Sus scrofa: one gene and its partners. The protein of the gene in region 6 interacts with the protein of the main gene of each other region in a biochemical or structural test. Links are inferred from orthologs where the notes say so. Each region holds a gene or a part of one and is shown on either strand. Other genes may lie near its edges. The genes, in order: LAT, PDGFRB, WAS, ERBB3, EEF1A1, PLCG1 and FGFR2.

Evidence for each region.
Region 1: the proteins of PLCG1 (region 6) and LAT form a complex in vitro, tested with the Homo sapiens proteins (2 studies listed by BioGRID and IntAct, with this or other methods). The link is inferred for Sus scrofa from reciprocal best matches to the Homo sapiens genes PLCG1 and LAT.
Region 2: the proteins of PLCG1 (region 6) and PDGFRB form a complex in vitro, tested with the Homo sapiens proteins (3 studies listed by BioGRID and IntAct, with this or other methods). The link is inferred for Sus scrofa from reciprocal best matches to the Homo sapiens genes PLCG1 and PDGFRB.
Region 3: the proteins of PLCG1 (region 6) and WAS form a complex in vitro, tested with the Homo sapiens proteins (2 studies listed by BioGRID). The link is inferred for Sus scrofa from reciprocal best matches to the Homo sapiens genes PLCG1 and WAS.
Region 4: the proteins of PLCG1 (region 6) and ERBB3 form a complex in vitro, tested with the Homo sapiens proteins (2 studies listed by BioGRID and IntAct, with this or other methods). The link is inferred for Sus scrofa from reciprocal best matches to the Homo sapiens genes PLCG1 and ERBB3.
Region 5: the proteins of PLCG1 (region 6) and EEF1A1 form a complex in vitro, tested with the Homo sapiens proteins (2 studies listed by BioGRID, with this or other methods). The link is inferred for Sus scrofa from reciprocal best matches to the Homo sapiens genes PLCG1 and EEF1A1.
Region 7: the proteins of PLCG1 (region 6) and FGFR2 form a complex in vitro, tested with the Homo sapiens proteins (2 studies listed by BioGRID and IntAct). The link is inferred for Sus scrofa from reciprocal best matches to the Homo sapiens genes PLCG1 and FGFR2.

The regions. Positions count from the first base shown.
Region 1 is NC_010445.4:18,637,817-18,641,791, forward strand, and holds the start of LAT (linker for activation of T-cells family member 1), read left to right. Parts: upstream 1-1,175; 5' UTR 1,176-1,533; coding exon 1,534-1,636; intron 1,637-1,828; coding exon 1,829-1,856; intron 1,857-1,981; coding exon 1,982-2,016; intron 2,017-2,264; coding exon 2,265-2,352; intron 2,353-2,485; coding exon 2,486-2,550; intron 2,551-2,641; coding exon 2,642-2,819; intron 2,820-2,891; coding exon 2,892-2,986; intron 2,987-3,975. UniProt on the Homo sapiens protein: Required for TCR (T-cell antigen receptor)- and pre-TCR-mediated signaling, both in mature T-cells and during their development.
Region 2 is NC_010444.4:151,158,536-151,161,818, forward strand, and holds part of PDGFRB (platelet-derived growth factor receptor beta), read right to left. Parts: intron 2,549-3,283; coding exon 2,437-2,548; intron 2,018-2,436; coding exon 1,918-2,017; intron 1,462-1,917; coding exon 1,356-1,461; intron 498-1,355; coding exon 265-497; intron 1-264. UniProt on the Homo sapiens protein: Tyrosine-protein kinase that acts as a cell-surface receptor for homodimeric PDGFB and PDGFD and for heterodimers formed by PDGFA and PDGFB, and plays an essential role in the regulation of embryonic development, cell proliferation, survival, differentiation, chemotaxis and migration.
Region 3 is NC_010461.5:42,784,597-42,788,096, forward strand, and holds part of WAS (wiskott-Aldrich syndrome protein), read left to right. Parts: intron 1-1,131; coding exon 1,132-1,218; intron 1,219-1,335; coding exon 1,336-1,438; intron 1,439-1,830; coding exon 1,831-1,872; intron 1,873-1,969; coding exon 1,970-2,023; intron 2,024-3,283; coding exon 3,284-3,452; intron 3,453-3,500. UniProt on the Homo sapiens protein: Effector protein for Rho-type GTPases that regulates actin filament reorganization via its interaction with the Arp2/3 complex. Important for efficient actin polymerization. Possible regulator of lymphocyte and platelet function.
Region 4 is NC_010447.5:21,472,919-21,477,017, forward strand, and holds the start of ERBB3 (receptor tyrosine-protein kinase erbB-3), read left to right. Parts: upstream 1-1,299; 5' UTR 1,300-1,706; coding exon 1,707-1,788; intron 1,789-4,099. UniProt on the Homo sapiens protein: Tyrosine-protein kinase that plays an essential role as cell surface receptor for neuregulins.
Region 5 is NC_010443.5:92,420,526-92,424,750, forward strand, and holds the start of EEF1A1 (elongation factor 1-alpha 1), read left to right. Parts: upstream 1-1,425; 5' UTR 1,426-1,458; intron 1,459-2,141; 5' UTR 2,142-2,176; coding exon 2,177-2,320; intron 2,321-2,515; coding exon 2,516-2,695; intron 2,696-2,816; coding exon 2,817-3,113; intron 3,114-3,196; coding exon 3,197-3,347; intron 3,348-3,435; coding exon 3,436-3,692; intron 3,693-3,780; coding exon 3,781-4,015; intron 4,016-4,115; coding exon 4,116-4,225. UniProt on the Homo sapiens protein: Translation elongation factor that catalyzes the GTP-dependent binding of aminoacyl-tRNA (aa-tRNA) to the A-site of ribosomes during the elongation phase of protein synthesis.
Region 6 is NC_010459.5:43,837,503-43,841,002, reverse strand, and holds part of PLCG1 (1-phosphatidylinositol 4,5-bisphosphate phosphodiesterase gamma-1), read right to left. Parts: intron 2,953-3,500; coding exon 2,849-2,952; intron 2,735-2,848; coding exon 2,638-2,734; intron 2,430-2,637; coding exon 2,360-2,429; intron 1,907-2,359; coding exon 1,749-1,906; intron 550-1,748; coding exon 453-549; intron 364-452; coding exon 139-363; intron 62-138; coding exon 1-61. UniProt on the Homo sapiens protein: Mediates the production of the second messenger molecules diacylglycerol (DAG) and inositol 1,4,5-trisphosphate (IP3). Plays an important role in the regulation of intracellular signaling cascades.
Region 7 is NC_010456.5:131,219,002-131,222,501, reverse strand, and holds part of FGFR2 (fibroblast growth factor receptor 2 precursor), read left to right. Parts: intron 1-1,008; coding exon 1,009-1,199; intron 1,200-2,582; coding exon 2,583-2,730; intron 2,731-3,500. UniProt on the Homo sapiens protein: Tyrosine-protein kinase that acts as a cell-surface receptor for fibroblast growth factors and plays an essential role in the regulation of cell proliferation, differentiation, migration and apoptosis, and in the regulation of embryonic development.

The DNA of each region.
Region 1 (3,975 bases), on a different chromosome or scaffold from region 6:
GCACGTACAGGGTCAGTGGGGCCTCCCCTCTGTCTGTCCACAGCCCCTCGTCTAACTTCACGATGCCCCCTGCTTGTCTGTCCATCTCTCCGCCCGCCTGGCCCCGTGTACCTGGCAGCTCTCAGTCCACAGCCCTCCTGTTCCTCGGGCGTCGCATCTGCTGTTCCACAAGCTGATGCTCCTCTGTGTCCGTAGCACGGGTGGCTCTGCTGCCCCGTCCATCTGCCCCTGCCTGTGTGTCCCCTTCCTGGCCCTGTGTCTGTCTGTGCATCCAGCCCTGGCTCTGCTCCCTTTCCCGGCAGGTCTGTTGTTTGAGGCCGGGCCTGCCGATGACCGAATCGTGGTGCCCCAGCGAGGCCGATCCACCCGGGTCCCCGTGTCCAGTGTGCTCATCTGAGGGGGGGTCACCGCTTGCTACCTGCACACCCACCACGGCTGGCCCCGGGCCCACCCAGGAGGGGCCTGGGCCCAAGCTCTCAGCCTGGCCCATTTCTTAGGAGGGGCTTGGCCCATGTTCCGGCTCCCACGCACTACATGGGGAGCCAAGAGGGGATGCTCCCCATCCCCACTGGAGCAGCCCCAGGGGCTCGGTGCTATTTGTAACTGAATAAAATTTGTAGCCAGACCCCAAGTGCCTGCTGGAGTCTCTCTGGGTGCTAGTGACCTCTGACCTCTGGATGGCAGGGGACGCCCCCTTTCTAGACCCAGTTTTCCAGGGGCCGTTGGGTCACTCCTGTGGCACCTTGGGCAAATCCCTGTCCTTCTGGGCTGGTGAACGAGGGGGTGGAGTGAGCTGGCTCGTGTGACCATGAGTCACGCCCATGTCTTCCCTGGAGCCCGCCCGCCCTTGGCAGGCCGGCCAGGGCGAGGTGGGGGTGGGCACTGCCCTGTGCCCCTCAGAGGTCCCGCTGTCTGAGCCTCCCTCCTCGCTGCCTCCTTGAGCCTTGGCTGTGGAGGCCACGGCGGCCACAGCCTGCAAGTATCTTCCCCTTCTCTCCCTGCTGTGAGCTGCCTCTTGTCCGGAGACCAGAAGACCCTTCTGGAGGGCCCGGTGGTGGGGGTGGTGGCTCCTGAGGCCTCCTTCCCCTCCCCTCTGGCTGGGTGGGGGTGGGAAGGGGGCGGGTGCAGCCGGCTGAGGAGCCCTGATGATTTCCTGCCCTCACCCGGCGCTTACCACAGCTTCCTGCCGCGGGCAGGCAGGCAGGCAGGCAGGCGGGCAGGCGCTGAGAGAGGCGGGCGCAGAGCCCAGGGGCAGGTACGGCTGGGGCGCAGGGTCTGTATAGGGGCGCCTGGTGCCCCAGACTCCAGCCCAGCCTGGCCTGACCTCCCTGGGGTCAAGGGCCTTCCAGAACCGGCGCTGCCGCCCACTCAGCCCATTGAGGGGAGGGGGCGCGGCTGCCCCTCTACCAGGCTCCCAGCCTGGTGCCCGCCTGGCCCCTGCCCCTTTGCTGGCCTGGCCCTCGCCCTGCAGCAGCTCTGCTCTTGAGGGCTGTGCAGCGAGCAGCTAGGCCAGGTCCAAGCCCCCTCCTGCAGATGGAGGCGGTCAGCCTGATCCCCTACGCACTGGGCCTCCTGCTGCTGCCCCTCTTGGCCGTGTTGCTGATGGCACTGTGTGTGCGTTGCCGAGAGCTGCCAGGTGAGTGGGTGCTGGTGGGGTGATTGGATGCCCAGACACCCCCCACCTCCAGGGATCCTCACCCCACTCCCCAACCCCTTCATCCCTCTTTAATCGTCTCTAACTGTTTCGGAGACGCCGAGCACCCCAGGGTCCCTCTCCCTCTGCCCCCGTCACCCCCTTTTCCTGCCTCACCAGCCCTCTCTTCCCCAGGCTCATATGACACTGCTGCCCCCGATAGGTGAGTCTGCCCAGGTGACCCAGTGTGTGTGTGTCTCCCTCAATACCCACGGTGGGCCCGAGGGGACTGGGGCGGGGGCTGGGGCCTCTGGCAGCCACTTAGCCAAGCCGTGTCTCTCCCGCTAGTTTGACCCCAAGTAGCATCGTGATCAAGCGGCCTCGTAAGTACACGGTGGGGCCCCTCCTTCGGGTGTGGGGAGAGGGTCCCCTGGTGCCGGAGAGTATGTGCCTTTGTTTAGTTCCCCCCTATGGCTGCCCACATGGCCTTGACCTGAGCTGGGGATGGGGAGGAGATGGGGGCACCCCAGGGCCTAGGGGTGTTGGGGGTCAGTCTGCCCTTTGAGGCCATGACTCGGGTAAAGGGCATGATGTTTGGAGTCATTTCTTCAGCTTGGTCCTGTGTCCTCAGCCACACTTGCCCCCTGGCCACCAGCCACTTCCTACCCGCCTATGACCTCCTACCCACCCCTGAGCCAGCCAGATCTGCTCCCCATCCCGTAAGTAGCCTCTCTCCCTCTGAATCCTCCTTTGCGGCCCCTTGCCTCCTTGGAATGGGGGCCTCTTAGCCTGTCGCAGTCCCTCTTGCCCCAGAGCCCCACTCCAGCATGACCACTGACCTTTGACTCCTAGGCGATCCCCGCAGCCCCCCGGAGGCTCCCACCGCATGCCTTCTTCCCGGCAGGACTCAGATGGTGGTAAGCGGGGCGCGGGGCCCAGGGGCTGGGGCTGGGCAGAGCCCAGGCCCGCCTGAGCTGAGTTGATTTCCCTCTCGCGCTCTCTTGGCAGCCAACAGTGTGGCCAGCTACGAGAACGAGGGTGCGTCTGCGATCCTGGCGGCCCTGGCTGGGAGGAGGCCAGGGCCCGCCCTGGGCTCTGCTGACCCTGTGTCGTTCCCCCCAGAGCCAGTCTGTGAGGATGCGGACGAAGACGAGGATGAGGAAGACTATCACAACGAGGGCTACTTGTGAGTGGCCAGGTGGGAGGTAGGGGCTGAAGCCGGGGGGTCCTTGCTCACCCCATCCTTGACTTTCCTCAGGGTGGTGCTTCCCGACAGCGTCCCAGCCACTGGCGCCACGGTCCCAGCAGCTCCTGCGTCCAACAAGCCCGGCCTCCGAGACAGCGCCTTTTCCAGTGAGTTTGCCGTCTGACCACCCCCTGCCCTTGGGCTGCGAGCCCTTGGCTCTTCCCTCTCCTCCTGGATGCCTGCTCCCCCTTCATTTTCTCTCTTCTCTCTTTCTGGCACGTCTGTCCTTCAGATAGGGGACTTCCGGCTCCCATCTTCTGATTTTCTTACCATTTCTCTCCTCTTTTCTCGTTGTCTTTTCCCTTTCTTGTCTGTGAGATTTCCTTGACTTGATTCTTCTTTGGACTCTATGCTTTTATTTTGTCTGGCCTGTCCAAAACCTTTCTTCATCTCTGAATGTTCCTTTTTCATAGCCTCCTGTTCTTGTTTCACGAAGGCAATATCATCTCGTAATTCGATAAGGATGTTGATTGTAGGTGGTCTTTTGAGGGGGGTTGTGGGGGTTCGTTTTCTTCTGCTTTCTGGATTGTTTTAATTTCCCTTGGGCTGCTTTTCTCTCATTTTAGTCTCATCCTGCCTGTTAGAGGCTTTTGTCGAGGTCTCATCATCATTAGTGCCCCGTTACCCGCCTTTCTGTCTCTCCTGTATTCTCTCTCGACTTGTTTTGGGCCATCACGTCCACACCCGGCTTCATTTGCCATCCAGATTCCTAACTCACCTCCTCTCTCCTGAGCCCCAGACTTCTCTGTCCAAGGGCTTATATTCACTTATATCCATTCACTCATTCGTTCATCCATCATATTTCCTGGGTGCCTGGATATAATCATCATATTTCCTGGGTGTATTTCTTATTTATCATGAAGTACAGTCATGATAAATAAGAGCTGACATTGTCAAGGGCGTCCTATGTGCCCTGCTAAGAGTGTTATGTGTTTTAACGTATTACTATTAAACCACACAATTCCCAGCTGCTTTGGAGCCTGGCCCTTCCCCGCCTGGCCCTCTTTTGCCCCATCGGTACAGTTATTTTTTTTTTTAACAGAAGCTTGGCAGCCCTTCCTGTACCACAGGCCCTGTTTTAATTCACTGCTTTAGT
Region 2 (3,283 bases), on a different chromosome or scaffold from region 6:
GCAGGGCTGGGCAGGGCCTGGAGGGGACAGGGCAGAGGGCCCCCAGGGGCTCCTTTACGGGAAGTCCCAGCCTGTTGAGGCTCTCACCAGCCTGCCCAGCCCACCTAAGGTCCTCAAAGGTCAAGGGAGCTCAGCTGCCTCCTCCATCCACCGGCAGGAACAGGTTCTCACTCCAGGCAACTCACTTCAAGACCCGCCTCGCAGCGCGAGGACACCCGCACACAGACACACAGCACTGCCTCGGGCGGCAGGTGGGAGCTCTACCTGGCCAGGCTGGGGGCGCCCTCCAGCGGGCCCTCGTCGGCCACCTCGGGCTTGGGGTCGGGCAGGGGGATGATGTAGTCGTTGTCACCCTCGTTGGGCTGCACGGCCGTATAGAGGACGGGGCTGCTGTCCAGGGGGGATCGCAGCCCAGGGAAGCCGGGCAGGCGGGCTTGGGACCGGAGCACAGCTGGGTGGTCGCTCCTCAGAAACTCCTCATCCACCTGCTGGTACTTCTGCTCCCGGGGATCAGACCAGAAGTGCCGTTAGGGGTCGTCGCGCACTCAGACCCTGACCCAACCCGCCCCTCTCGTGTAATAAGGCGCCCGGTGCTCCGAGAGGAAGGACGGCCCTAAGCCACGGGGCTGAGGTGCCCTCGTCCCTGGCCTCTTGCAAGGCCGGGGAGCTCCAGGCCACCGGGGAAGGGGCAGCTCTCAGACCAGCACCCAAAACCCTAGCGCCGCCCACCCGCTCTCCCGCCCCCCGTCACAGCAGACAGGTGCGGGCCCTCGGCCTGCCGCGTCCTCCCCTGCTGGGGCCGCGGAACGGGGACACCCCCCCTCCCTCCCACTGGTCCCAGAGCCATAACCGACGCGGCTGGGAGTGGGCTAAGCCGGGACTGAGGGTGAGGGCTGGGTCTGGGCCTGAGGGCACCTGCATCTCCTCACACTAGCTTCGCAGTCGGGCAGGGAGGGTTTTAAGGCCCCGCTGACTCTGACTGCGTTGGATGAGCCTGCGGCGGGGTCCAAGCAGTCCAGGCCTTAGTGCTCATGCAGCCTGGGGCTGCTCGAACTGGTGGAGGAGCCAGGATTTGGGCGGGGTGCCAAGGCAAGAGGAGGAGGCCGGCTGAAGGGGCTGAAGGCTCTGCCTCCACCTCCCATCAGCTTCCACGTAGGCTTTTACTTCAAAAGTCTCTGTGCTGCTCAAGTAAGCTTCCGGCTCCAGCCCACCCATCATCAGCACCGCCAGGGAGGCCGAGGCCCAGAGAGGTAAAGGACGGTCCCCCAGACACGAGCACGTCTTGCAGGGCCTGGCCCGGGTCTGCTTCTGGACCGGAAGGCTCCATGCCCCACCCGCACCCCGCCTCGACCCACCTTTTTGTAACCCTCGCCCAGGAGTCTCTCGAGAAGCAGCACCAGCTGGGAGAAGGGGGGCCGAATCTCAAACTTCTCTTCCCAGCACTTCTGCATGATCTCATAGCTGGGGAGGGGGCACAGCGGTCAGCGTCGGGGCTCCCGGGACTAGGTGAGGACGGGAGGAGGGCGAGGGGCTCCCTCGGGCAGCCTCCCACCACCCCCGCCCCGGTCAGTGGCTCCCCGGGCCTGACCACGCCTTGGTGAGCCGTGACCCAGGAGGGCCCGTGTGATTCCACTTGAGCCCCGGCAGCCAGCTTGGGGCCTCTCGTGGGAACTACGGTGAAAGCGGCTGGGATGGGATCGTGTGGAGGGTGCCAGCCTGAAAGTGAGGCCAGCACGGAGGACGGCAGGGTCCCGGGGGGACAGAGATTGTGGATGCCGTCATGGGCACACCTGGGGCTGGCTAGACCGAGGGTTTTCTAGATCGCTGAACCTAGACGTGAGTGCCCAGCTTCAGCTGGCAGAGGCGGCTGTCCGTCTACTGCTGGCATCAGAACGGCTTCCCAGAGGCGCCACTTACATCTCATCCGAGGCGTGGGCAGGCTGTGCCATGCGGTAGCCCCGCTTGATGGCGTTGTAGAACTGCTCGTTCATGGGCAGCTCTGGGTACGGGGTGCCACCTGTCGGGGAGCAGAGACAGGAGACACAGGCCCGGGGGTCGGAAAAGTGGCAGGAACCCTCTTCTACGAGACAGGGAAGGGTACGCCAGCCCGGCGTGGGTGCAGGTGCAGTGGCCTTGGCATTGGGAGATGTGGGCCCCCCCACAGGCTCTGGACAGAGCCTGCCTCCCTCCCCAGAATCAGGGACCCAGAGGACGTCACTGTCCAAACCCGCCGAGACTCGGACGGGGTGGCAAAGAGCCCAGAGGAGGCAGGACGCTTGTGAGGGTCACACAGCGACAGAAAGAGGCAGAGCTGGGGCCTGACCCAGGGCCCCGAGCCCGGCCCCCAGCCCGGCCCCCAGCCCGTCCCCGAGCCCGGCCCCCAGCCCGACCAGGACGGAGGAGTGCGCGGCCAGGGGGGGACGGCAGGACGCGCACCCAGGGTGAAGATCTCCCAGAGCAGGATCCCGAAGGACCACACGTCGCTCAGGGTGGTGTAGAGGCTGTTGAAGATGCTCTCGGGGGCCATCCACTTCAGAGGCAGGAAGGTCTGTGGGGGGGGGACACTGAGTGCAGGGGGGGGCGCTGGGGGCCGGGAGGGGAGGGGGGGCCGGGGGCGGGGGCGGCCTGGCAGTCCCCACCCTCAGCGCTCTCTCACTTCCCAGTCCCTGAGGGCCCTCCCAGCTGGTACCCGGGTCCCACGCCCACCCAGTGCTGGCCCGGGGCGCAGGGGGCGGAGCTTGTTCCCCACATGTTGGGGCCAGAGCAGCCCCTGTCTGCGGGGAAGTGCCCAGGGCCTGAGGCTGCTCGCAGAACGGGACCCTTCCCCACCCAGTAGAGACCCTGGGCTGAGTGAGGCGGGGGTGCCTGGGGCTCCCAGCTCTCGGCCCGTGCCTCCGGGGCCCAGCGTGACCCCAGCTCGTGGCAGGTGGGGACATGAACAGAAGGCACGTTTGAAGCACACGCAGCCTGCCTTACTCATCTGTTCTGGCCTGTTGCCTGCGCTCCCTCTGCTCACCTCCGCTGCTGGGGCAGCGCGTCTGGCCTGCTCCCTGCAACCTTCCCAGGACCCCTTACGACGGGGCCCTTGGCCGAGGCCGCAACCGGCAAATCCCAGCCGCCCCACCACGGCCCTGGCACCTCTGCCCCACCCACCCCACTCCGAGCACAGCTGGGGACGCCCGTCGCCGTCCCTGCACACAGCGCTGGGCGGGCCGACTGTCCCTGCCTACCCGGTCGGGCCACCAGGAGCCCTGCCCTGCGGGCCCACGAGCCGCAGCCACAC
Region 3 (3,500 bases), on a different chromosome or scaffold from region 6:
AGAAATCCCCATTCAGAAGTTCCCATTGTGGCTCAGCGGTTAATGAACCCAACTAGCATCCATGAGGGTGCCAGTTCGATCCCTGGCCCTGCTCAGTGGGTAAAGGATCCAGTATTGCCGTGAGCGGTGGTGTAGGTCACAGATGTGGCTCAGATCCCGCATTGCTGTGACTGTGGTGTAGGCTGGCAGCTGTAGCTCTGATTCGACCCCTAGCCTGGGAACCTCCATATGCCATGAGTGCAGCCCTAAAAAGAAAAACAAAAAAAATATTCCCACTCAAAGCTCCTGAACTCCAGAATTTTGCCTAGCTCCTAAGTCATAAATCTGTTCCATAACCCCCCAGTCTAAATATGCCATTGAGTCTTGAACTCCAAATTTGTTCTGTTAAAACCACAGCATGGACCCCAGAATTCCTATGTGAAAACTCCGGAGCACGCAAATACTGCCAGAAATCTGTTCCACAAATCCCCAACCTCAACTCCCTAAGCATAAACCCCAAATTCATTCTTCTAAACCCATGAAGATAGACTCAGTAGAGCCACATCAAGATCCCAGAGCTGGGAGTTCCCTGGTGGTCTAGTGGATAAGATTCAGAGCTTTCACCACTGCAGCTCGGGTTCAATCTCTGGTCTGGGAGCTGAGATCCCACATCAAGCTGCTGCACACTAGCCCCCCCCCAAAAAAAATCCCAGGGCCATCGAATATTGACCCAAATCCAAAGCCATAACTCTACTCTATGAACCTCAAATTGCACATAACTTGGCTGGCTACCCCCCAAGACAAAAATCAACCTCCCAAGTCTATAGGTCTGAACCTCAAATCTCAACCCAGTTCCCAATACTGGCACCCTACCTGCCCAAACGAAGGCCCCCCCATAAAGGGGGGCAGGCTTCAGGATGGATTCTGCAAAGGGGCTCAGGTTCCTAGACTGAGAGTCTCAATCCTCACCTTCAAACCCCCAAATCCCAAATCCTCTCACTGAAGTATCTGACTCCCATAGTGCACCCCAATCCGCCCCAGACATCTAGTCCCTCAACTCTCTGATGCTGAACTAGAAAGCTCCAAATCAGATCCCAGGACCCCAAATTTGTATACTACGCCTCAGTGCCAGCATGTTCCCTGCCTCTCCAGGCCGGCCGGCTGCTCTGGGAACAGGAGCTGTACTCACAGCTGGTCTACTCCACGCCCACCCCCTTCTTCCACACCTTTGCTGGAGATGTAAGAGACCACCCAACCCCCAGGGGCCTCAGTCGGGGTGCTGGGAGGAGGTGGGAAAGGGGTCGGGGTGGGGGGCAGGGTGCACCTGGAAGGCTGCTGACCCCCAGGCCTGTGCAGGAATGCCAGGCGGGGCTGAACTTTGCAGATGAGGGCGAGGCCCAGGCCTTCCGGGCCCTGGTGCACGAGAAGATCCAAAAAAGGAATCAGAGGCAAAGTGGAGGTGAGCAGGCCTTGGGGGAGGAGAAGAGGTTGCCCAGAGGTGAGTGCAAGAGTGGGAAGCTGGAGGGAGTTCCCGTCATGGCTCAGTGGTTAATGAATCCGACGAGGAACCATGAGGGTGCGGGTTCGATCCCTGGCCTTGCTCAGTGGGTTAAGGATCTGGCGTTGCCGTGAGCTGTGGTGTAGGTCGAAGACGCGGCTCAGATCCCACGTGGCTGTGGCTGTGGTGTAGGCCGGGGGCTACAGCTCTGATTCGACCCCTAGCCTGGGAACCTCCATATGCCGCGGGAGCGGCCCAAGAAATGGCAGAAAGACAAAAAAAAAAAAAAAGAGTGGGAAGCTGGAAAAGCCCCCATCATGGTTCTGGTTCCCAGTCGAATTGTCTCTCCACAGACAGGCGCCAGCTCCCCACTCCACCCACACCAGCCAATGAAGGTGAGTCCTTTAGCGAGTGCAATTAGGAGTAAAAAGGGCCCGGCCCAGGAACCTGTGGCAGGATTGCAATGGCTCTCTACCCATCCCATCTTCCCAGAGAGAAGAGGAGCGCTCCCACCCGTGCCCCCGCACCCAGGTGGAGACCAAGGGGGTGAGTGCTGATTCTTCCCTGTGTCTCTGGGTGGGCAGGTGGGTGGGGGAGTGGGTGGATGGGTGAGTAAGTGGGTGGGTACAGAGATAAGTGGGTGAATGAGTAGGTGAATGGATGTGTAGTTAGATGGATTGGTGGTGGACAAATGATTGAATAGGACGAGGAATTGAGGGAAGGATGAAAATATAGATAGATGTACAGGTTGTGTGTATAGATATATAGGTGAGAGTTCCCGTCATGGCTCAGTGGTTAACGAATCTGACTAGGAACCATGAGGTTGCGGGTTCAATCCCTGACCTCGCTCAGTGGGTTAAGGATCCGGCATTGCCGTGAGCTGTGGTGTAGGTCGCAGATGTGGCTCAGATCCCGCGTTGCTGTGGCTCTGGCGTAGGCTGGTGGCTACAGCTCTGATTAGACCCCTAGCCTGGGAATCTCCATATGCTGCAGGAGTGGCCCTGGAAAAGACAAAAAGACAAAAAAAAAAAAAAAGATATACAGGTGAATGGGTATGGGGATAAATAGATGAATGGATGGATGGATGATTGACTGAATGAGTGACTGAATTCAACAGTGAATAAATGAGTGACATAAAATTGCAAGCAGTGGAGTTCCTGTCGTGATGCAGCAGAAGCGAATCTGACTAGCATCCATGAGGATGCAGGTTCAATCCCCAGCCTCGCTCAGTGGGTTAAGGATCTGGCATTGCCATGAGCTATGGTGTAGGTCACAGATGCGGCTTGGATCTGGTGTTGCTGTGGCTGTGGTATAGGCTCCAATTCAACCCCTAGTCTGGGAACCTCCATATATTCTATGGGTGGAGCCCTAAAAGACCAAAAAAAAAAAAAATTGCAAACAGTGGATGGCACAACATTGAAACCAACTACACCTTAATAATAATAAAAAAAAAGGACTAATCCCAAGCATCTTGGGATTTACAAGTGAGAAAAAAATTTCAATCTGTGGAGAAAGCAATGAATGAATGAATGAACAAGTAATTTAACAGATTAGTCCATGAGCAAGTGAATCAATGAGTTGATACTTAAGTGATAAGCGTGAGTGAACATAAATAAATGAATCAGTGAATGCGTGGATGGTTTGTGGGCCCCAACCACACTCTTCTCCATAAACCCTACTTGGACCCCCTCACCCCCTCCCTCCACAACCATCAGACACAGAGATTCTCCCAGCTATCTTCCTGTCTCTTATGCCTGTGCTTTGCTTGGTTGGGTCAATGACTCAGTCCCCCTATTTTCCCCACAGGTCAAGGAAGCAGCTCACTGTCCTTGGTGACAGTGGACATCCAGAACCCAGACATCACAAATTCACGATACCGTGGGCTCCCGACCCCGGGGCCTGGTCCAGGTGATAAGAAACGCTCAGGGAAGAAAAAGATCAGCAAGGCTGATATTGGTGCACCCAGCGGATTCAAGTGAGAACCTCTCCCCAGTGGGCCCATGGATCCCTGGGGGGTGGGGGA
Region 4 (4,099 bases), on a different chromosome or scaffold from region 6:
AAAAACCTGAGTGCCTTCCCCCTTCTGATCATCTTATCATCTCAGCCATCCTCACCAGGTGGCAAATGAATGACCTTGGAATAGTCCCACATTTCCAGCTCTGTAAAATGGAGAGTGATGTCCCCTAATTCACCTAATTTGTATGTTAAGTGAAACGTTCTCTAAGTTGGAGGAAAGGGCTGCAAACGACGTAGTTTCCGTATATATATGTTAATGTTTCTATTACTATTATGACTGTTATGTAAGTGGTCAGGGCAAGGTGAACGCCCAGAGGGCAAAGGTAGCCTCCGCCAAGGAATGGGCCCTCCAGGGCGCATCTCAATACGGAGCAAGTTTAAAGAATTTTAGCCAGTAATCTTGACTCGGGGTGAGAGGTTGAATTTGTCTTAATCAAGGCTCAACCGTTCTTGAAGTCTTCGGGCTTGAAACTCTAGGAGAAAAAAGTAGGCTTTCTGGGCAAGATCCGAAATGCAACGCGGATTGGGGCCTCACTGCCACCTGCTGGGCACCAGGGGGTGCCGGTTGGATCCATTTGAAGTCTGGCTGGCTTGGGGGCTGCCACTCTGGGTGCGCCGGACCGCCTCTGGACAGGATCCGGGGAGCTGGTGGTAGAAGTGCCCGAGGTTCATGACTTTCGGAGACGCAGTGCCCTTTCCGCGTCCCCCTCCACCTCATTTCCAGCGACACCCGGGCACAGAAGGCCTGGGAAAAGTGTGAGCGCCTGTGGTGGGAACGGTGTGCCCATCTGGGTCCCCCGAAGAGCGGCGAGGACCGCGACCGCTCCGACGGCGCGGTCAGACTCTTGTTCAAGGGGAGGCAGCTGTTCTTCCAGGCAGCCGTGGGGGGCAACAGAGGGGACGGCGACAGGTGCGGGAGCCCCTCCCGGGGTGGAAGTGAAAAGGCGGGCTTCGGGGTCTGTTCCCAGGCTGGAAGCCACCCCCGCCCCCCAACCAAATCCCCGGGAGAGGCCCGGCCGGCGCCGGGTCTGGAGGAGGAAGCGGCCGGAGACAGTGCAATTTCACGCGGCCTCTGGGGCTCGGGTTCCTGGGCAGGGTGGATGAGTTATGGGGTTTCGAGGGGGTTTGGGGGAAACTGAGGTGGCCTGAGTGGGCGGCAAAAACACCCTCCCACTCAAAAACACACATGCAGAGAAACATTTACATTCAGATAGAAAATCCCCCAAGTGACCCAACCGGCTAGGGGAGTTGAGTGATTTGGTTGGTGGGCGAGGCCAACTTGCAGGGGGCTGGGCTTTGGAGCGCTCTCCCCACCCCCATTACCTTTCTCCTCGGGAGGCATTTGGGGGCGGCTGGAATCTTGGCCTCTCCTTAGTCCAGCTCCTGGAGAAAAATTAGGGTGAGACCCATCCGCGATCTGCGTGGCCCCAGTTGCCCGGCACTGGAGCTTGGGGCGCGCTCGGGGCGGGCCGCCGAGGCTCCAGCAATCGCTACTCCAGCCTAGCGCCCGAGGGGGCGCGGCCGTGACTCACCCCCTCCCCCTGCGCTCCCTCCTTCGCTCCCTCGCAGACTACACCCCTCCCCTGCTATCCCGCCCCGGACTCCGGCTCCGGCTCCGGTTGCAATTCGCAACCTCCTCTGCTGCCGCTACCAAGTCGCTGGTGGCTCAGGTGGCTCCGCTTCGATGTCCTAGTCCAGGGGCTCCCCCGGCCGGATTGGGCTGGGCTCCCCTCACCCGCCGCTGGAGTCATGAGGGCGAACCGGGCTCTGCAGGTGCTGGGCTTCCTCCTCAGCCTGGCCCGGGGCTCCGAGGTGGGCAACTCTCAGGCAGGTAAGCGGCGCGGGAGCACCGGCAGGCTCGGAACTCGGGATCCCGAGCGGAGCGCGCGGGGTCCGGGAGGGCAGGGGCAGGAACCCGGGCTGTGCTAGGCTGGGGTGCGGAGCCCCGGTCCGCTGGGACCCCTCCTGGGCGGGGAACGTCAGGATCGGGTTCTCGGCGTGGTCCGGGCGGGGAGAGGATTCCTGCACCACCACCTTCCCCTGGGCACCTCCTCCCTGGCCCGTCGCGGACCCTCTGATTTGTCTCTCGGGATAGGGCTGATGCGCAAACATTCACACTTCTGAGGGACCCTGCAGGAAGGGGAGCTAGGACCCCCATTCTGTAAACGTGAGGGCCTGATTGGAGGTGGAGATCTTGGAGGGAGCCGGGCGGGGAGAGGGGGTCTCGGTTTGCACCCATCCTCCTGCCCCCTCCTGCCCCCTCCTGCCCTCCACCACCTCCAGTTTGGTTGTTTTGCCGACAGGGCGGAGCTGTGGAAGGGGTGTGTGTGTGGGGGGGGGTAGGTTGTTGTTCTCTTGTGTTGGAAAACAAGAGCAGCACCTCCTCTTCCGTGAGTGGGTCTGCCCTGGGGAGAGCTGAGATTAACCCCAGGGCCAAGTCCAGGTGACAGCAGGTTGAGAGGCCACGCAAACACTGCCTGCCTCCTTTCTCTCAAAATAATAAAAGTTGGCTGGTTCCAGACTCGACCAACCTGTTTTTAAGACCCCGATCAATTCAACTGGTATTTATTAAGCATCTACTATGTACAAAGCCCTGGGCCAGGAGATGAAGGGGCAAGGACTTCCAGTGGCTGTTTCTCTCTCAGGGCCCACAGGGCTCCTCTCCCATCTTCTGAGGCGCCTGTCCTCCGAGTTCCTTCTTAGACACAGCTTCCCCCCCACCCCCCATTCTGTTTATTGTCTGGCTGTCTCTAGGAGTCTAGACAAGAGTCAGTTTGCTCCACTATTCCTCCTTCTACTCCCATGCCAGCTGAACTCACCCCTTTGGGGTGTCTCTGGGACCGTGGACACCTGAGGGGTGCTGGGGTTGCTGGCATGGGAGGAATCCTGTTGCTCTCCTCCCCTCCCCCCCAGACCTCAGCTTGGGGTTTGGCACAGCCAGGGCCCCTTCCCCAGGGTGGGAGTGGGAGAAACACCTGTGCTTCCCTCACAGTTGCTGGGCCTAAATTTAGAGCCTGGGATCTTGAGATGTGAACACTCCCAGCTGGTGGAGGGTGGGGGTCTGGGGATTGAAGTGGGAGAGACTGAATGGAGGGACTCTATCACTGTCCCATCCAGACCCCTGGAATCTTCAACCCAACCGGGAACCCAGGAGTCCCAGACCCTGGCCACCTTCCCCGAGGGAGACAGGAGGCAGGCATGGTTGGGTCTCTTTACCCTTTATCTGGATCCTGCAGCCTCTGGGCATCCGGCCCTGTCTCAGTCCTTCTATAGCCCCTTTGTCCTGCCTGTGATGGGGGTGGGGGACTTTGGAGAGGAGGCCTGTGGTTGAAGAGGGGCTGGAGATTCTTGCTCTGACCCACCCCAGTGCTCTCTACCAAAAGAGGGCCTGTGACACTGGCTCTCCCAAGGCCCCTGGTCCCTGAGTACAGCAGAGATGGTCTATTTCCCCTCCCCCTCCCCTCCTCCCCAGGCTGCCCAGTTCCTCCTGAGAGGTGTTGTTCATACTCTCTTCCCGCCCAGCCACCCAGCCCTTTGCTCTCTGTTTGTGTAATACGGACTTTACCCTCAGGGAGGCAGGGAACTGGGACATCTTACTCTGTAGCCTCCCAAGCACAGACACAAAGTCTGCACAGACACATATGGGCAGGTGGGATGGATGGGGCCACCTGAAATACTTCCTGATAAGGAAGCCCAAGGACAGAACCAGTAGAGATTTTGGGGCCAGTAGGGGAGCTGTGTACATGTTTGTCTGTGTGTGTGTGTGTGTGTACACGCACACATCCCGCTTCCCTGTGTGGAAATCTTGGCTCCTCCCTTATCAGGGGAGAAGGGTTGGCGCCTTGACTTGGAAGAGAGGGTGTCCTGCCAGGAAGGGGGTTGGGGTGGGGCTTTTCCAGAAATGACTAACCTTCCTAGTCGTTTTCTTTTTAGCCCAAGGACCCTAGCATTCCCAGGCTCCTCTGGGAGCGCCTGGCCTTTTTACCCCTCTGCTAGGTCTAGCTCATCCCATTCCCTTTAGGAGGTGTGACAGGGAATAGAAGGCCTTCAAAGGTCAAGTGGGCAGACTAGGGGTGCATCTTGGAGGAGGGCTTGGGGCCTCACCAATCTCCCTTCCTCCGTTCCCGCTCCTGCCTCCCACT
Region 5 (4,225 bases), on a different chromosome or scaffold from region 6:
ATTTGCTTTTAACTACTTCCCATTGCTCTATATATTAGTTTCCCTTTTCCAATTAGATTGTGGGTTTCTTCCCCCAAAGGAAGTATTTCTTTTGCATATGCTTCGGAGCCACTCTTAGCTCTGGCCACATAGTAGGTTCTCAAATATTTGTTGATAGATTGGCTCAAAAAGTTGCAGTAGTGCTCTACACGTGGAAGAGACGATCTAGTAATTAGCTCATTTAAAATAAAGGTTCCTCTTTCTTCAGGAATATTTTTGAATATCTGCCTGATTGCCAACCAAAAAGGCCTCATCTTGTCTTGCCCTGGATTTATGCCTAAAATGCAGTCACAATGGATAGGACGACAAAAGATGAAGCCGTTTATTCAAATGGGATAGGCCATTTTTGAGAAACAGTGATTTCACAGCAAACGTTGGAGTAGTAAATTGGGTGGATAAGCTTCCTGGCGCTGTAGATCTTAGTCTCTACTTGAGATCGTGTATAAGCACTGAACTCAAAAAATTCTTTTTAGGTTTTTCATGCTTGCAACCAAGAGTATACACTGGAAAAAAAATGTTAATAGGAGGGTAGACACACACTCAGGGTCTTAAACGTAATAAAATTAGGATTAGAAGTAAAGAAAACTGTAGTACTTAAGTCTATTCTAAACTCAAAAACTGGACGTCTGGAGTACCACGTGGTGTGTAGAACGAACTTAGATAAAAGAACTGAATGGAAAAAGCCAAGAGGTCAGCGCAGGAGCCTGTTCGCCAGGCTGTTGGTCAGCAAACTGAGCCACTCGCGGATTCTCGGCCCTGAAGACCGCCCCGAGGCCCCTGCCGCCGCGGTTCCCCGGCCTTTTACGCCTCCCTCTCCAGCCGGAAGGGGCGCGGACGGCAAGGGCGGTGGAGAAGCCCCGGCAGAGGAAGCGGCTCCAGGGGTTAGTCCTTAACCTGCGAGACCGCAAGACTGAGGACCGGTGGGGTACTGCCGGGTAAGGGCTCCCATCTCGGTCCAACTTTGCAGTTAAGCTACGACCGGTTCAGGGAAGATTCTGGACGCCTCCCCGCCGCCCCACCCCCCAGCTGTGCGGAGAGTAATTCATACAAAAGGAGGACTCTCCTCAGCCAGGGAAATCCCAGGGACCGTCGATAAACTCCCACTAAACCTAGAACCGAGTGAGCGCTCGACCCCGCCTCCCACCCACCAGCAGTCGTCATCCTCCTGGTTGAGAGGAGCATGCGCCGGGCGCCGTGTGCTCGTCAGTGGGCTGAACGCACATCGCCCACGGTCCCCGAAGATGGGGGGAGGGGACGGCGGTGGAACCGGTGCCGGGTGGAGGTGGCGCGGGGTAAACTGGGAAAGTGGTGTCGTGTGCTGGCTCCGCCCTTTTCCCCGAGGGTGGGGGAGGACCATATATAAGCGCCGTGGTCCCCGCGAACGTTCTTTTTCGCAACGGGTTTGCCGCCAGGACACAGGTGAGTACGGGTGTGGCCTCCGTCCGCATGGCCTCCGCCGGTGGCCACGGCCTTAGCGTGCCTCCCGGCCCCCCGCGCGTAGAGGGCTCTGCGCCCTGGTCCTGATTCCGAGCTGCGGGCGGGGGGAGGTGGAGAACTCGAGGCCCTCCGCTCTCGCGGTTCCCTACCGCGTGCCCGGTGGCGGCCTGCTGGGGCGCCGTGGCCGCCGCGTGCGATCCGCGCCTTCGCGCCCGCCCCGTCTGTCTTCGCGCTCGAGTTCGGCCGGCAGCCGCGTGTTACTGCCAGGGCGGCCCAGCCGAGGCCGCCCAAGGTGGCCTCCGTGCCCGGCGGTCCCGGGGCAGACGGCCGCGGCGGGGCGGGGCGGGCGGTCGGAGACCCAGCGCCCCGCCCGGGCGGGCTGCGAGCGCGGAAAGATGGCCGCTCCCGGTCTCAAGATGGAGGACGCGGACGGCGGGCGGCGCACAAAGGGCCGGGCGGTGCTGCCCGCGCCGCTTCCCGGGACTCGCGGCCCGGGTGGGGGAGGGGCTGGGCGCCGGGGCGGCCCCGTTCGCTGGGTGTAGGCCGGGCAGGGCCCGCAGGGCGCCGGTGCTAATGCTCCCTGGAGTTTGCCCTTGGCTGTTGGGGTTGTGCCTGAGTCTCCGGTCGTCGGGACAGTAGTTTAAAGAAGGTTTTTGTCGTCTTAGGTGTCGTGAAAGCCATCGCTAAAAGCTAAGCAAAAATGGGAAAGGAGAAGACTCACATCAACATCGTCGTCATCGGACACGTCGATTCGGGCAAGTCCACCACTACTGGCCATCTGATCTACAAATGCGGTGGGATCGACAAAAGAACCATCGAAAAGTTCGAAAAAGAGGCTGCGGAGGTCGGTAAAGTAACGTCAGCAAATTAAGTGGTAGTTCTCTAAAACTAGTGTATATCTGACTTGAACTAGTACATTGCAAAGTTTGCTAAGTGGCTTAACTCCAGCCAAGTTTAGGAGATGGAAGTGAAACCTAGCATTGCTTCCAAGTGGGACTAAGGAGTTTAGTTACCGAGTAACCCTTCTTAATCCCTGCAGATGGGAAAGGGCTCCTTCAAGTATGCCTGGGTCTTGGACAAACTAAAGGCTGAACGTGAGCGTGGTATTACCATTGACATCTCCCTGTGGAAATTCGAGACCAGCAAGTACTACGTGACCATCATTGATGCTCCAGGACACAGAGACTTTATTAAGAACATGATTACAGGCACTTCCCAGGTTTGTAGGATTAAGAACTCCTGAGAGTAACATTTTGAGTTATCTATAAATTGGCGAAACCATGGATCTGTCCTTTTTGGAGAGGTTTTCACAGGGTGTGGCCTTTTTTTCTTTTTTAAAGGCTGACTGTGCTGTCCTGATTGTTGCTGCTGGTGTTGGTGAATTCGAAGCAGGTATTTCCAAGAACGGGCAGACCCGTGAGCATGCTCTTCTGGCCTACACCCTGGGTGTGAAACAGCTCATTGTTGGCGTTAACAAAATGGATTCCACTGAGCCACCCTACAGCCAGAAGAGATATGAAGAGATTGTAAAGGAAGTCAGCACCTACATTAAGAAAATTGGCTACAACCCTGATACAGTAGCATTTGTGCCAATTTCTGGCTGGAATGGTGACAACATGCTGGAGCCAAGTGCTAATGTAAGTGGTTTTGATGAGTTCTCAAAACTTAAGTCTGGGAAGGGATAAGTTTGAAAACACTAATTGATGATCTTGTGTTTTAGATGCCTTGGTTCAAGGGATGGAAAGTCACCCGTAAAGATGGCAATGCCAGTGGAACCACACTGCTTGAAGCTCTGGATTGCATTCTACCACCAACTCGTCCAACTGACAAGCCCTTGCGCCTGCCCCTCCAGGACGTCTACAAAATTGGTGGTAAGTTGAACGTTACACTCAGCTGGTATGGGTTGCAGTGATGTTTGTCTTCATACGAGATAATTATGCTGTGCTGTGAATACTTCAGGTATTGGTACAGTCCCTGTGGGCCGAGTGGAGACCGGTGTTCTCAAACCTGGCATGGTGGTCACCTTTGCTCCAGTCAATGTTACAACTGAAGTCAAGTCTGTTGAAATGCACCATGAAGCTTTGAGTGAAGCCCTTCCTGGGGACAACGTGGGCTTTAATGTCAAAAACGTGTCTGTCAAAGACGTTCGTCGTGGCAATGTGGCTGGTGACAGCAAAAATGACCCACCTATGGAAGCAGCTGGCTTTACAGCTCAGGTAACACTTCAGTGACAGGTTTTTAAACTGCCAGAACCTTAACTGTCTAAATGTCTAAAATGTGCTAAATGCAAATTTTCTCCCTAAGGTGATTATCCTGAACCATCCTGGCCAGATCAGTGCTGGTTACGCACCTGTGCTGGATTGCCACACAGCTCACATTGCCTGCAAGTTTGCTGAACTGAAGGAGAAGATTGATCGTCGTTCTGGGAAAAAGCTGGAAGATGGCCCCAAGTTCTTGAAATCTGGTGATGCTGCCATTGTCGATATGGTTCCTGGCAAGCCCATGTGTGTTGAGAGCTTCTCTGACTATCCTCCTCTGGGTAAGAGTGCCTTTTTAGTGTAATTAAGCTTCAGTAAAAATGGAAAAGCAGTTATGTAGAGAAAGTGTTTCTCATGGTGATTTAATTTTTGTTTTAATAGGCCGATTTGCTGTTCGTGACATGAGACAGACAGTTGCTGTGGGTGTCATCAAAGCTGTGGACAAGAAGGCAGCTGGAGCTGGCAAGGTCACCAAGTCTGCTCAGAAAGCT
Region 6 (3,500 bases):
AGCACGTAGCCGCAGTGCCCGCCGGCCATGAAGAGAGCCTGGTTCATCTGCATCGGCTTGTCTGCAAGAGTCGGGTTACAGGGTGGACTCCAGCCCACCTGCCCCCCAGGGCCCCCACCCCTCGGGCCACCTCCTCACCTGGGGTCTGGAAGTTGAGGGCCACCAGCTGACTGCCACAGATCCACATGGGCAAGGGGTCATAATTGGAGGAGTCCAGCCGCTGGCCCTTGGGGTAGATGCGCGACAGCTGCAGCCGGTTGTACTGGAGGAACTTCTTGCCTTTGGCCTTGTTCACATACTTCTCAGCCTTGGTTTCCGGGAAGGACGACATGTCCCGGTAGCAGGCGCGTTCTGTGCCGATCTCTGCGCCAAAGAGGGAGAGGGCTTACGGGGCCCGTCCTCCCAGGTGCTGCTGGGGCTGCACCCGCACCCCACCTGGGCCAGAGCCTTACTCTCTTCATCGAAGGGAACAGGCCGGCAGTAGACGACGAGCTCAGAAAGCTCCAAGGCGATTTTCTTCCTCCGCTCCATCATCTTCCCCTCTGTGAGCTGATGACACACAGGCCCTGAGCCAGGCGGGAGACCTCCCCCCACCCCCCGGGAAAGGGGAGCCCTGGGCACACCCACCTGCCCCTTCCAGACCCCATTCCCTGTCCTCAGTCACATCTCAGAACTGTCCCCTCTCTTCCTGCCCCCCGAGGACACATGCCCTGCCAGACTTAAGAGGGCACACCTGTGCTCCAGTAACACCCCAGGGTCCTGGCTGACTGTACCCCCAGCCATGCTCTGTGGCCACTTAGTACCCAGCCTCTCTGAGGAACAAAGGTTGCCTCCTGGTTTTCTTGTGACTTCACTGGGGACTCGGGTTTGGTCTTCTGTGTCCTAAGAACCTTCCTTCCACCTCTCCTGGCCCAGAAGCTCACCCTCAGTTCCCCTCACTCAACACAACCACCTGCTGGCCACAGCCAGACTTCAGCTTGGGAAGCCCACTCCTAAGTGCCCCCGGAAGGCCCATTTCCTTCCAGACGGGGGGACTCATTCTCCGACTCTTCCTTCCTTCCCAGACCCCAGGATCCATCCCTGCAACCACTTCCTCCTTCCAGGCTCCGCTCTTGACAAAATCCTTAGCACCCACCCCTCTTGGCCAAGCTTGAGCTGTCCTTGTCCCAAAGCAGCCCCAGGTGTGTACTGTAGTCCGAGCACCCGACCCCAAATGACAGGGGTGGCATCAAACAGGCACTCCCGCAGGCTGGCGCCTCCCCCTCAACCCCAGGCTCAGTGGACGAGCCTCCCTGCTCCCGAGGCTGCGCCCTGGCCTCCCACACTCTGTGATGCCCGCCCAGCCACTGCCTACACGGCTGCTGCCAAATCCCACGGGCGCTCTCAGGCTCTGCTCCGCAGCCCTCAACACATCAGACCCTGTGCCTCGCCGGCCCACCCTTCCCAGCCCCTCGTTCTCCACACCCACGTCCTCCAACGTCACGCCCTGTTCCTGTCCCACACCACGTTGCCCCTAAGCCCTGGGCACCCACTCCGGCTTCCAGCCCAGATTCATCCTCCACCTCTGCCCCTGTCATCTAACTGCCCGCTAAGCAGAGCCACCTGAGTGTCCCATGGGTGCCTCCAACTCAACACATCCTCAGCCTGCCACACCGCCAACCAGGCGTGAGTTTCCTCTGCTCCCAGCCTGGCGCAGGGGCTGCACACCCCAGGCTCCTGTGGTCTGAGGGCCACCAGCAGGCTCTCACCCTGGCATCCGCGGTCTGGGCCACCTCTCGGATCTTTTTCACCCAGTCCTGCAGCTCCTCCTGTGAGTCAGCAGCCACATCCAAGGACCAATGTGCCACCGACGCCATGCTGATGGAGAAGACGAAGAGCCTGTTGTTCTTGCCCTCAGGACGGATGGCTGGGAGGGAGAGAAGAGCAGAGCTGAGGACACATGTGCCTGGGTCCCACCCCACACCCCGGGCACTGGCTCCAATGAATTCTCTCCCCCCATGGGGAGGGGGTGCCGTCTGCCAGGCCCCTTTCACAACCGAGAATGGCTGCATCCCAGCACTAAGTCCCTGCCACCCTGACCACGTGCTGTGCCCCTCCCCACCCTGCTTCCAAGCCTGTGTCCCACCCCGGGACCCGCCGTCAGGTGGGACAGTCATCCACAGTGCCTGCAAGGGACGAGCAGGCAGGGGCCACAGCCAGGGGTGACAGAGGGAGCGGTGGTACCCAGGGATGGGGAGATCTCAGAATGAGAGCGGCCTCTGGGGGTCTGGCCTTCGTCCCTTTCCCTCAGGGCAGGAAGAGAGCCACCAGGGGCCTGACCCCAAGGGGCAGTGCACAAGAGAGCGAGCCGGGGGCTCACCTATCTGACAGGCTGGCACATCCAAGACCCCCCGCAGCAAGTCCCCCAGGGGGCTGTTCTCGTCCAAGTGCTGTGGGAGGCAAAGCAAGAGAGTCAGCCAGTCTGCTGTACACATGTGGGAGGGGCGTCTGTGCGTGTGAAACACACACCTGACACGGGTACGTGCGACCAAGGCTCCACGGGGCCTGAAGGGACCACCTACGAGGGGGCTGTGCGCACAGGCACCCCGATGCCACGTGTGCCGGGGATCTGCCCCACCCACACGGCTCTGCTCTCACCTCCCTCTCGGGCTCCAGGGCCGCAGGGCTGACCATCTCTTCCACGTAGTTGGACGGAAACCACAGCTGCTTCTTCCCACCATAGTCCCCCCGCCACCTGTGGAAGCCATAAAGGTGCTGACCCCCAGCCACCACCCCAAACTCCCGCGCAGGCCCATGGGCACCCAGGACCCCCGCCAGCACCAAGGCTCTCAACCCGGGGCCACCTCACCAGCCTCCCTCCTGCTTCTCCACGTTCTGGATGATGGCGCTCTTGGTGAAGGTCAGCTCGTCATCTCTCTGGGCCTTGTAGTCGAAGAGCGCTTTGACGGCACACTGCGGGGAGAGGCGCGCTGAGCACGGCGGACAGGCCCTCCCTGCTCCACCTGCGCACACGCGTGTGCCTGGGCTCGGCTGTCACTGCCGGAAACCCGCCCTCGTTGCAGTCCTGGCCCTGGGCCTGCGGGAAGCTCCATGGGGTCTGGGTGGAACCCTGAAGCCCCTGCCCCGGGCGTCAGGCTGGGAGGCTGGGAAGGGAGCGTCTGTGGGTGCTGAGTGCCTCCCCTGAGACCAGGGGACCTTGGGGTGTGGCTGGGACCCCGCCATTCCTCCTCTGCCAAGTAGGCAAGAGACTCCCGCAGGCTCCCGGGCTGCCGAGGAAAGGGGGTGAGGGCAGAACACAGCTCCTCGTCCCTCAGAAGAAAAGGCGAAGCGAGGAAGGTCCTGTCTGACAGACCCCCCCCTGGAGGTGTGGGGGCGGAGCGGCAAAAAATGACGTCTTCTGGCCAGCGTGCCCCCACCCTGTCCTGCTGCCGGCCCAGGAGGAAAGGGGGCTCACCCCAGGGGCAGTCGGGAAGAGTCAGGGCTGACCCCCAGGGACAAGG
Region 7 (3,500 bases), on a different chromosome or scaffold from region 6:
CTCCAATTCAATCGCTAGCTTGGGAACCTCCATATGCCATGGGAGCGGCCCAAAGAAATAGCAAAAAAAAAGACCAAAAAAAAAAAAAAAAAGACGGTCTGGGACGGTGCCAGGATTGGGGGGCCCCATGTCGCTTTCTGTTCCTTTCGGTGCTCTCTCTGGGCCAGCTGAGGACTGCCTGCCTGTGCCCCTGGCGTTGGGCACACAGCCACTGCTTATCGAGGACACGGATGGGAGTGTGGGGCAGGACGTGCACGAATGGAGTCAGTTCCACCGCAGGAGATGAGACCACTTGTTCGTACCTTTGGGCTTCGGCTTTTCATTTCTTTTCTTTTCCCTTTTGTTCTTTTTGGCCGCATCCACGGCATGCGGACGTTCCCGGGTCAGGGATCGAACCTGCACCACAGCAGCGACCTGCGCCACAGCAGTGACAAGGCCGGATCCTTAGCCTGCTGCGTCATCAGGGAATTCCCTATTTTCTTTTTATAACAAGGGATTAGAGGGCTTGTCGGGGCATCTTAGAAATGTATCAGGAGACACTGCATTCGGGTGCCATTTTGGAATTCAGGGTGACCTTGAAATTAGTCTTGTCACTTCCCTGGGATGTCAACCTATGATCAAGGTGAGTTTCTGGTATCGTCCCCAGTGGAAACTGGGAGGAGGCCTTCTTTCCCCCGCCATTGGTCTTTTTGATTGTCACCATAAAACCTTATCCCTTGTTCACTAGGTGGCCGTGGCCATGGACCACAAATGACTTGAGATGGAATAAGGTCTTAGTTTTCTAAATAAGTATTCCTTTTGCAAGGGTCACGCTCCCGCCGTCTGCTTTGAAGTCGTCGTTGTTATGCGTTGGGCCGTGGTGTTATTTCAAAGGAGTCAGCCAGCAGACTCGAGGCCTTTTTGGCTTGAGTTCCCGGGCAGCTTTCTGGACCACACCACTCATTTGTTCTGTTCGTCTCTGCCCCCCTCCCATCCCCGCTCCCCCTCTCCTCCCCTCTTCTCCACCAGAGCGATCGCCGCACCGGCCCATCCTCCAAGCCGGACTGCCGGCCAACGCCTCCACCGTGGTTGGGGGCGACGTGGAGTTTGTCTGCAAGGTGTACAGTGATGCCCAGCCCCACATCCAGTGGATCAAACACGTGGAAAAGAACGGCAGCAAATACGGGCCCGACGGGCTGCCTTACCTCAAGGTTCTGAAGGTGAGTATGGCCCGAACCCAAAGGTACCCACAACCGGGCGGGTGTGTGTGTGTGTGTATGTGTGTGTGTGTGTGTGTCTCCTCGATGGGTTCGGCCCCAGGTTCTTTGAATTTGATCGAAGATGACTCTCCTATGTGGTCAGCACAGGGTGCATTCGGGAATTAGCAGATCGTAGGCTCACGAATAAGATCTCAGAAGGGAGCTGTGCGGGGAGTGGGGAGGGCTGCTGAAGTTGCGGTCAGAAGAGCTGCGTATTTATGACCCTGAGATCTTAGATGAGACGGTTAGGCTTAGCTGCGCATCTTTAAAGTGGAGATCAGGATACTGTCTGCCCCACAGGGCATGGCGCAGAGTCAGTGGGATGGAAGAGCTGGAAAGAGCTTTGTAAACTCCAGGCCTTGTACCCATGTGCATTGTTACACTGACCTTGTTTTCTCCTAATAGGACTTTAGGATCCAATTTTAGTAGCCACCTTTTAGAAACAATTTAGATTTTCCTTTTACAAGAAATCCTGGAGTTCCCATCGTGGTGCGATGGAAACGAGTCCGACTAGGAACCATGAGGTCATGGGTTCCATCCCTGGCCTTGCTCAGTGGGTTAAGGATCTGGTGTTGCTGTGGCTGTGGTGTAGGCCGGCAGCTATAGCTCCACTTGGACCCCCTAGGCTGGGAACCTCCATGTGCTGTGGGTGTGGCCCTAAAAAAAAAAAAAAACAAAATCCCTTAGCCTTTGCAATTGATTCACACATGGTTTAGATGATAAACTTTAGACGATATTCCTACCCAGGGCAGTGTTGCACAGGGACTCATTCTTTCCCCTTGTAGTTCTCACTTGGTTCCTTGCAAGACCCTGTGTTGAGAGCACCAGCATCTTTAATTTTTAGATCTCACTCTTCAGGATGGTGGTAGCAAAAGCGGCAGCTAAGTGTGTACGAATCCTTTTCAGTTCGCTGCCTGCCGTGTCTCCCACATTGAGCTGCTCCTAGAGAATGTCCTTAAAAAGAACAGTCTTCCAGTAGAACCACAGGTAGCCCAGCCCAGCTCAGAACTCTCAGCCAATGAGGTGTTCTCTCCAGCTGTGAATACCACGAATCCAAAAAGCTGGAAAAAGATGACCAGCCTGGGGAACTGCGGATCCATTTTGCACGGGGATTGATCCCAGCCGCCCACCCGTCTCCACTGGGTCACTTCTGCTCTCCACCGGTTGACTTATTTTGTTCTTTCTAAACCCACAGCCCTTGTCTGCTGCTGTTGAGATGAGATGGAGGTTGTGTTTTTTTGTTTGGTTTTCGTTTTTTTTTTGTGGTGTGTTGGTGGTGGGACCCTAGGTGCTGCGACATCCTTGCTGGCTGGCCGTCATATTGTTCTCCTGTGTCTGTTCTAGCACTCAGGGATAAATAGTTCCAATGCAGAAGTGCTGGCTCTGTTCAATGTGACTGAGGCGGATGCTGGGGAGTATATTTGTAAGGTCTCCAATTATATAGGGCAGGCCAACCAGTCTGCCTGGCTCACTGTCCTGCCAAAACAGCAAGGTAACAACGTTTTTGTTTTTTGTTGTTGTTGTTTTTTTTTTTTTCCTTTTTCTTTTTTTCTTTTTTCTTTTTTTTCTTTTTTTAAAGAAGGCTGGATGATAGCAGCTGAAAAGACTTGGTGCTTTGGGAGACTGAAGGCGGCTTATAGGATAACTCTGTGGTCTTGGTATATTCATCATAATCTTTCTTTGGTGCTGCAGCTGGTATGATGCCAGCAGCCATGGAAAAATGCCCACAATGTTCAAAGTGCTTGCTCTCATTTCTTGTAAAGATTATCCTCCCCACCTCCCGCCACCCAGTTTTTAAGTTGTTCCTTCTGGTTTCTCTTGTTTGGGCTGCACAACTCCTGTCACCCCTGCACATCAGCACCCTTGTAGACACACACACTGGCAGGCCGATCGGATCTGTGACATTTGCTCTAGCAGCAGAAATCATACCTCCTCTGCCCTAGGTGTTCCGAGAAATATCGGCACCATGTCACTCCTTCAACAGAGCCTCATTTTCTTGGTTGCCTAACTGATACCTATGAGATACTGTCCTTGACCTTGTTATCCCAAATTCGAGGATGCACCGTCTCGCCGAGTCAATGTGCTGCTGGCTGCCATTGAAGACAGCAGGTTGGCCTTTTCAATTTGTCATGACTCACATTCAAAGGTTGATATTAAAAAACAACAAGAAGAAACAAGTCCCATTTCATTGCTCCCAAGATAAGACTTCAGCCATTCGCTTTCAATGCAATGTATAGCAAGCTGGTTATGCAGGAGCGAAAA